Caenorhabditis elegans: one gene and its partner. The protein of the gene in region 2 purifies or fractionates together with the protein of the main gene of each other region. This does not show direct contact. Each region holds a gene or a part of one and is shown on either strand. Other genes may lie near its edges.

Region 1 (3,931 bases), on a different chromosome or scaffold from region 2:
AAGCGGATTCTTGTCGCTAATAGTTTTTAAAGCTTGATGATCAACTTCCACGAATATGCGAGACACTTATTAACAAATTTTCACTTATTACTGTAAACTAAACATTTCAAAATTAATAAAAAAAATTTAATTACAGGCCATAATAGCGTGACACTCGTTCTGCGTACATCTGGCTTTATTTCCACGTGTCCCACGAGTTTTTCTTCCTCTTCAGTTTTTGATCAGTGCTAATTGTTTTCGTTAGAATTTGAAAACTTCGAAACTTCGAAACGAAACTACTTCGAAAAAAAATGAAGATAAAATGTGTTGAAGTCAACAGCGACAAATATTCGATTAAATCAGTGCTTGGAAAATTCTGTGATACAAACTGTGGAGGAATCAATGTGTGAGTTTCAAGATTTTTCCACTTCGGCTAATACAATACTTTTTCAGCTCATTGTTTGTCTCAGAAACTACTTCGAATAAGTATAGATTTGAATGGGAATTAAAATGGGACGAATTGAAGAAGAAAGGGGTCAAGCATTTGTTTGGAACAATCACCCCGGAAACCAACGACAAGTTGGTTCCAAGCATTGATTTTTCTGTTGATGAAAAACGCAGCACATCTAATTTGGAAACTTCTAAAGACTGGTTGTACAACATTCCTTTCAAGTACAAAATTTTCTACAAAGAATCCGATTATTCTGGATTAACTTTGGAAGAACTTTTCAAGCCATCTGAAAGGAATGATGCCGTTTTAGTGATCGGAGGTACAAAGATGCATGTCAATAAAGCTGTAAGATGTTTTTTTGCAGTTGCAGTGTCCTATATTTATAATTTTCCAGTTGCTGAGCTTCCATTCTGAATATTTTCGAGCTCTGTTCTCCTCGAATTTCAAAGAAGGAAAGTTGACTGAAATCCCAATGTATGAAGTTTCATATGAAGATTTCTCGAGAATGCTGGCAGTTTTGTATGGAAATGAAGCTTTATTGAAAGGTGATCCAATCCTTCAAACTAATATGAATTCATTATTTCAGATGATAATTTGGAAAAGATGTTGGAGCTGGCCGATCAATTTCAGGTGCCACGTGTAACGGCTCATATCGAGACTCATTTGTGCCACTTTTCGAAAATGAAGCAGGATCAATTGATGCGTTTGGCAGACAAATTCAATTTGCGTACAATCATCGAAAAGATTATCAGTGAAGTGGACACTACTCAAAAAATGAAGAACCTCAAGAACTCGGCAGTGTTCTGGAATTTATCAGATGAAACGAAGGTGCTCTTCCTGTATCGTCTCATGCAATTGATCTAAAGGATGGTATAGATTGAAGTTTTTTTATTGTATAATTTATGTATTTATTGTATTTTCGTGGTATAATTATGGAAGAATAAATGCATCGCATTTGAAAGTTTTTTTATACAGATTATCTCTTATTCAAAAAAGTTACATTTAACTAGTAAAATCTAGCCAGAAATTTAAGATCGTGTAGAACTCAGAAGATATCCGAAATCAGATGGCAGTGCTGAATACTGCTCATAACTATTTTTGTTACCTTTTTTTAAACATTGGTAAATATTGGCTTGGCTTAAAGTATGGCTTATGACGTGAACCAACATTGAAAATGGACGAATATTCTGGAAATTGAGTTTTTTTAGATAATAAAAAACGCTGTAACTATATATAAATAAATGTAATGTTTGTTTAAAACACCTTTTCTTCCAGTGCTACACCCTTTTATTGATCTTTTGTGTCAATATAAGTAGACTCTTATCACTTTGAACTTGTTCACTGACATTCTATTCACCATGACAGTCAATTCTTTATTCAACAATTTTACTTTTTTTTAAATATTAAACTTGCATTATTATTTTTGAAGTGAGTTAGTGAACGAAAACAAACAAAGACCCTCCACGGGTACTCACTATCAGTACTACTCACGTATTTGGATATTTTTTGCGGGGATTTGGAAAGCCATTTGCAGTTCCAACCAACTATGTTCTTAAGAAGACGTAATTTAAATTCATCAAGAATCATATGCATCATATCAATTATCGTGCTTCTTCTTATAATCATTTCACTATATCCTCATAAGCGGACACAATTTGGAAGATATTCTCGAAGACAGAAGACCATTCGATTTCAGCATAGTACTGGAGAAATAGGCAAGTAATCTTTTAAATCATACTTTAAAATAAATTTCCATTTAGGCGATCAATTATTCTCTCTACTTTCTCATCTTGGTGTTGCAAAAACTCTTTATCGAATTCCAGTTATCAATTCTGCTAATAATTCAAAATTAATCGATACTCTTTCAAACGCAATGTTTACAAGATTTCCATCGATTCTGCAACAATTTTTAATTGCTATTGAACCAGTAAGTGCATTTTTATAAAAATTTTCACAATTAAATGTATTATTTCAAATGATGATAAATTTGATTTTTAGCCAACAGCAGTGAATAGAGAACTTGGAATCGAGAATAGTTCGTACGAAGATCCTCTTACAAAGTTCTCAGAGGACACATCTTCAAGTCTGATGGTCAAAGGTTTGAGTGATCAATATAGTTTGGAAGTCTATTGTTTTTTATTCAGGGAACGGATTCAAAAGTTTTAAATATTTTGATAATTTGCGTTCTGACATTCGCTTGTGGGTATTGGAAGACGCCGAAAGTGTTCTAGAAGCACAAAATTTGATTACAAAATCTCAACGGAACAACTTCAAGTAAGCATTTTGATCATTTTAAAATTTATTTTTATTTATTTATTTCAGAATTTGTGTGCATGCAACATTAGAAAGCAATAAGAACTGCAGTGTTAAAGCAATTGCACAAATTCTGAATCATTGTAAATTAATTGAAACTTGACCATTTTTAGCCGTTCGTTTTCAGATACCAATGAATATGAGGATGTTATGTTGATAATTGCTAGCCCGTTTCCGGAATTTACTCGTTTCATTTTTACGAACTCGAGAATCAGAAAATACAAAACTGAAAAAGTGAGTTTAGTAAGTACAAACTTTCTTAATAATTTGTTATCATTTTTCAGTTTTCATTGATCAGTTCTTCACCAGAAATGCAAATTATTTTTTCAAGAATCTATTGTGATGTTGTATTCTTGACAGTTCCATATTCAACACATGGATGGTGGATGGGATATTTGGCAAAAGATGACAATAGCCACGTGTTCTATTTTGATCCAGACATGTTCCCGAAAAATAGAACGGCGAACCAAGAAGACTATTTCCCGCCAAAATGGAAGAAATTGTCAAGAAAAATTCAATGATCTCGATTTATCTTGTACAATAACTAACTTTTGTTTTGAATAAATAATTCATTAAGGCTGTGTATATGCAGTTTTCAGGAAAAAAAAACTGTTCAACGTCGATCACATTTTACTCACAGCTTTTGAGCCAAAAATTGAAATTAAATTTCCACCCAGAAGAAGACAGCGTCAGAGCCAAAAGAACAACCAAAAATCGGCAATTTAATTTGCCTGTATACAAAAACACGGATGTTTTTAATGTTTTAAGTCAGCTGAGTTCATAATAAACTTGATAACAAACGTGTCTTAAACTTCATCAATTGATTGTGCAAGTTTATAGAAAAAGATATATGTATCTTGAAAACCAAAAAACACGTGCAGGGTAACTAGACTTCAATTTTTGGAAATATAAAAATATACTACTAATATGTTTGTATTAAAATAATTTTATGAGAAACAAGTTGATAATTGACAGAAAACAATTATTTACAGAAAGGTACGTGCTTACAAAATGAAACTGGTTCAAGATTCTTCTTAAGTCCATCGAATCCCTTGAAAATTGTGTCCATAATATTTCCTTTGAACATAACACACATGGTCCCAACTGTGAGAGTTTTCGGATTGCTTGTTAAAGACGTGCAGAGTTTCTGTAAATATAATAGTGATTACATTAGTGTTTGATTGAAAA
Region 2 (3,931 bases):
CAAAAGGTTTAATGATTTTTTCCGACGATTCAAAATGAAATTTTTAGAAATAAGTACTGAACATTCAATTGGAATTATTCAAGAAGGGAGAAAAAAGGAGAAAAATAGCGGGCCGAGTCAAAAATTATATGAAATTTTCATAGGCCAATTAATAATTGAAGAAGAAACGAATAGAGTGTTCTTTTGGAACAAAAATGTGAATAAATTACTTGTTTTTCAAAAGTTATAAGTTTCAAGTGTGTTGATTTTATAATTTTAAGTTATACTTCTAACATAAATTAGTTACCTGTCTGCCTGCCTGCCGCCTACTTGTGGGTTCTGGCACAAAAGTCGGCGATTGATGCTTGCATAGTGTAGAGTTACGCATTACTTTTTTTAAAATTATATTTCTTTGCTAGTTCAACGAAATGCACAAAATCAAATTTATTTGAAAATTTAAATGTTTTAAAATTTTAAATTGCGTGATAAATATGCCGATCTTTCACCCTTTTCATCTTTACAACACAAATAATAACCGGAATTCATAGTATTTGAAAAATAGAAAAATTCAAAAATGTACATATGTTCCAGGATAATCCAAAAAGATTGCAAGCTCCCGAAAAAAGAAACAACTTTTGTGTGAAAAGAAGAAAAAACAAACAATGAAGCGGAGAAAAAAGTTGTAGGTGCTCCGAGAGCAATCCCGTAAAAAAATAAAACAATGAAGTCGATGAGCGGAGGTCGATTAATTGATTCAGGCGTATTATTTATATATTTGTTCTCACAAATAAACGCATTAGACGGAAAAATATTAAAGTTTAAATGTGAATAAAAGTATTTTCCCTGGTGTTCCAGGTGGGTTGGAAGCTTTAAACAAAATAATACTGTTGAATATTTGCCTACGTCTGTCCAAAACTGTATTCAGACAGGAAAAGAAACATTTAGTCTAACTATTTAGATAATTTATAATATGAAAACTTTATTGGGATTTTCTATTTTCTTTGTTTGAATAAATATCCTTAAAATTCCAGAATCACTAGAGTAGACCCCTTGAAGTAGAAAATTCAAAAAACATAAAATTAATCTCGATTTTATGACGTTCTGTGTAGTTGTATTGCGGTATATTCAAGAAATTGTTTATCTTTTCAAAAAAAAGAAGAGAACATTTTTTAACAAGTCAAATACGAATTTTTTCTGTAATTGTGTGAAGTATTAAATACAATAAACTCAAGCATAATTAAAATATTTGAAAAACTACTTTTTTGACCGACTTCCAAAGTTATGTGGTGCAACTGAAAAGCTCCCAATTTTAACGGAAAATTTGAAAAAAATAAAAAATTTTGTGAAATGATTTACAATGATATTTAGTCATTTTAGCACTCCTATAATTTTTTAAATCAAGTTCCCAGCATTTTTTGTCTTCTTTATGTTTTTAACCTTTTTCTTGTCTCTGTCGCCATGTGCATTGTTTTGAATTTTGAGAAGGTTTTGCCGGTGGCGACCTGCTTGTTAACCCGCCTAATCTGACGAGAAGCAGCGACTCCTCGCAAACACAAAAGTGACCAAACAGGCGACTCCTCCTTTCCGTTCCCCCGCTAAGCATTGTTTTGAATTCATCCCCTTTTTTCCCGAATAGTCTCCAATTTCGTTGTGCACTTCTTTTCTTGATTCTTAAAGTTTTGTCTGTTGTCCTGAACAGGATGATCAGATTGGTATTCTTATTTCTACTAGTTGTGTTATCTGTGGAATTATTGGATTTTCGTTCAAATAACTATCGTCAAATTATCAATAATGCTCTTCCAACAATTGATCCACAAATGATTAGTCAAGCTCAAGCTGCAATTAATCCTTACACTGACATTTTTGTGAATCCCCCAAATAGTTTTGTCGACTTTCCAATGGCTAACATTGCGTCATCAGGTGCATTTTGGCAGCAACCACAATCTACAGTATCTCAAGTAGCATGGAATCCACCAGTTTCTACAAATCCATCATCAAGTCCAGCAGCGAGCACAATATCATTTCAAAGTTATCAGAATCCAAGTACATTTCCATCAACTACTACTGCTTCAACAACTACCTCAACTACAACTATGCCACCAACTTATCAAACTACAACAAAATCTGTCAAAAAGAACACAGAAACATTATGGACAACATCGAAGTCTCCAATGAAGTTGTCGAAGAATCCAAAACCATCGAAATTGAATCAAAAGTTAGTTAAATTTTAAGTAATATTTTAGAACACGTTTTCTCATTGAATATTTTTCTAATACATAGTACTTTCAGATCCTCAAAGTCATCAGCAACTTCTTTTGACTCCGCCCAGTTATCAGTGTTATCTCATCGACTTTTAAATGATGTTTTGATTATTCCATCTTCTCGACGACTTTATATTCTTGCAATTATTCCAATTCATCAATCTTCTGGGCAACAGGTTTTTCCCTTTTTTAATTAAAATCTTGGTTAAATCTTGGTAATCTTGGTAGTTTGAGTTTGCATTTTAAATCACTCTAAAAATTTTTACAATATTCAGAATTATCACAAAATATGCAGATAAATTTACACATGTGATACCAAAAATTCCAATTTTCACAGAATTTGTGTTTGATAAAAGTATTAATTTCAAAACGTTTTATTGAAACCTCCTTTTCTGTAGATATTAAAATTTTGAATTTCTTTACACTTTAATAATTAATAAACGAGTTCAGAACTTTGAATGCGGAGAAATCGATGTGAACGCAATTGTCAGAATGGCTGCATTTTTGGAAGCACAAAAAACTGTAAACAACCGAAATTATGAGTTTATAAAAACACGAAAAACTTACAGATAAACGAATCAAATCTTCTTAAAGAAATTGGTGTAGATATTGGAGCAATTATTGTTGATTCATGTTCAACGGATCTTCGTTCAGTTGCTGATCTTTATGAACTTTTATCGGGGACAAATATTCAAAAAAGTGATCTTATTGCAATTATTCGAGATGATTCAACATTTATGCCAAATACTGAACAGATTATAAGACAGCTCAATTTACCAGTTGTCAACACATTTTTCACAACGAGATCGGCGGTGGGTTATTCTTTTAAAGAGGAAGTTGTACTGAGAACGTTCGAAAAGAACAATTATTTCTATCAAAAAGTTGTTTCTAGGTGCAAACATCTGGAACTTTGCCATCAATGTTTCTCCCAATTCAATCAATTATATCAGCACTTCGTCATTACCAGAGTACTTGTGTTAACATTATTTTTGATGAAAAATATTCAGAGTAAGTTTGTTACTTTGTACATACTTTTGAAAAAAGTTATCTGCGTTTCAGATCCGTAAGTGAGTTCCAGCAAGTTGCTCTAACAGAAGGAATATGCGTAGAAGTCGCGATTCATGTGAAGAATGCAAGCAGTACGGTTTCAGAAATGGTGGTTAGAAGGTATGAAAATTAATTTCTAATCGTGAAAAAACTATGGCCATAATGGGACTCAAACTGAATGTTTTAAAATAAAGTTTAATGATTCTTTTTCTTGACTTGTTCAAGGCGTAGTTTACCATCCCTCTTCATATCCTGTTTTTTAAGATTACTACTATCAGAAGCTAGAATTGTAGTGGCTCTTTTATCAGAAGACACGTGGATTCAGATGACTAAAGCGCTACGCTCGGAGATGGTAAAAAGATTTCCAATTGAACACAACATGTTATTTCTAAAAACTTAAAGGTTATCGCCGGCCGTTTTGTATTTATTTCAATGCAAGATCAACGATGGACTACATCAAGGAAGTTCATTGAAAGTTGGCCGACTTTTGAGCAACATTTGATTTCGGTTTAAAAAATTATCGATACTTATCGATACAATAAAATCGATACAATAAAAGTTAAAAAGTTTTAGATAACTCCAAAAACACCAATTAATCATGAAGAGGAAATCAAAAAACTAACCGAAAACATACCAAAACTATC

What was found.
Region 1: the proteins of C30A5.10 (region 2) and T25D10.1 fractionate together in Caenorhabditis elegans (co-fractionation; one large-scale study listed by BioGRID). This does not show direct contact.

What each region holds. Positions count from the first base shown.
Region 1 is NC_003280.10:6,401,715-6,405,645, forward strand, and holds T25D10.1 (uncharacterized protein), read left to right. Parts: upstream 1-1,686; 5' UTR 1,687-1,976; coding exon 1,977-2,145; intron 2,146-2,190; coding exon 2,191-2,357; intron 2,358-2,428; coding exon 2,429-2,528; intron 2,529-2,574; coding exon 2,575-2,704; intron 2,705-2,752; coding exon 2,753-2,826; intron 2,827-2,870; coding exon 2,871-2,977; intron 2,978-3,027; coding exon 3,028-3,264; 3' UTR 3,265-3,326; downstream 3,327-3,931. Other genes in the region: btb-2 (BTB domain-containing protein), read left to right, coding at 291-385, 433-775, 825-975, 1,017-1,294; spp-11 (Saposin B-type domain-containing protein), read right to left, coding at 3,726-3,890.
Region 2 is NC_003281.10:8,207,595-8,211,525, reverse strand, and holds the start of C30A5.10 (uncharacterized protein), read left to right. Parts: upstream 1-1,657; 5' UTR 1,658-1,679; coding exon 1,680-2,194; intron 2,195-2,268; coding exon 2,269-2,416; intron 2,417-2,690; coding exon 2,691-2,762; intron 2,763-2,809; coding exon 2,810-3,052; intron 3,053-3,132; coding exon 3,133-3,248; intron 3,249-3,299; coding exon 3,300-3,407; intron 3,408-3,551; coding exon 3,552-3,639; intron 3,640-3,689; coding exon 3,690-3,794; coding exon of another isoform or gene 3,795-3,800; exon of another isoform or gene 3,801-3,860; coding exon 3,861-3,931.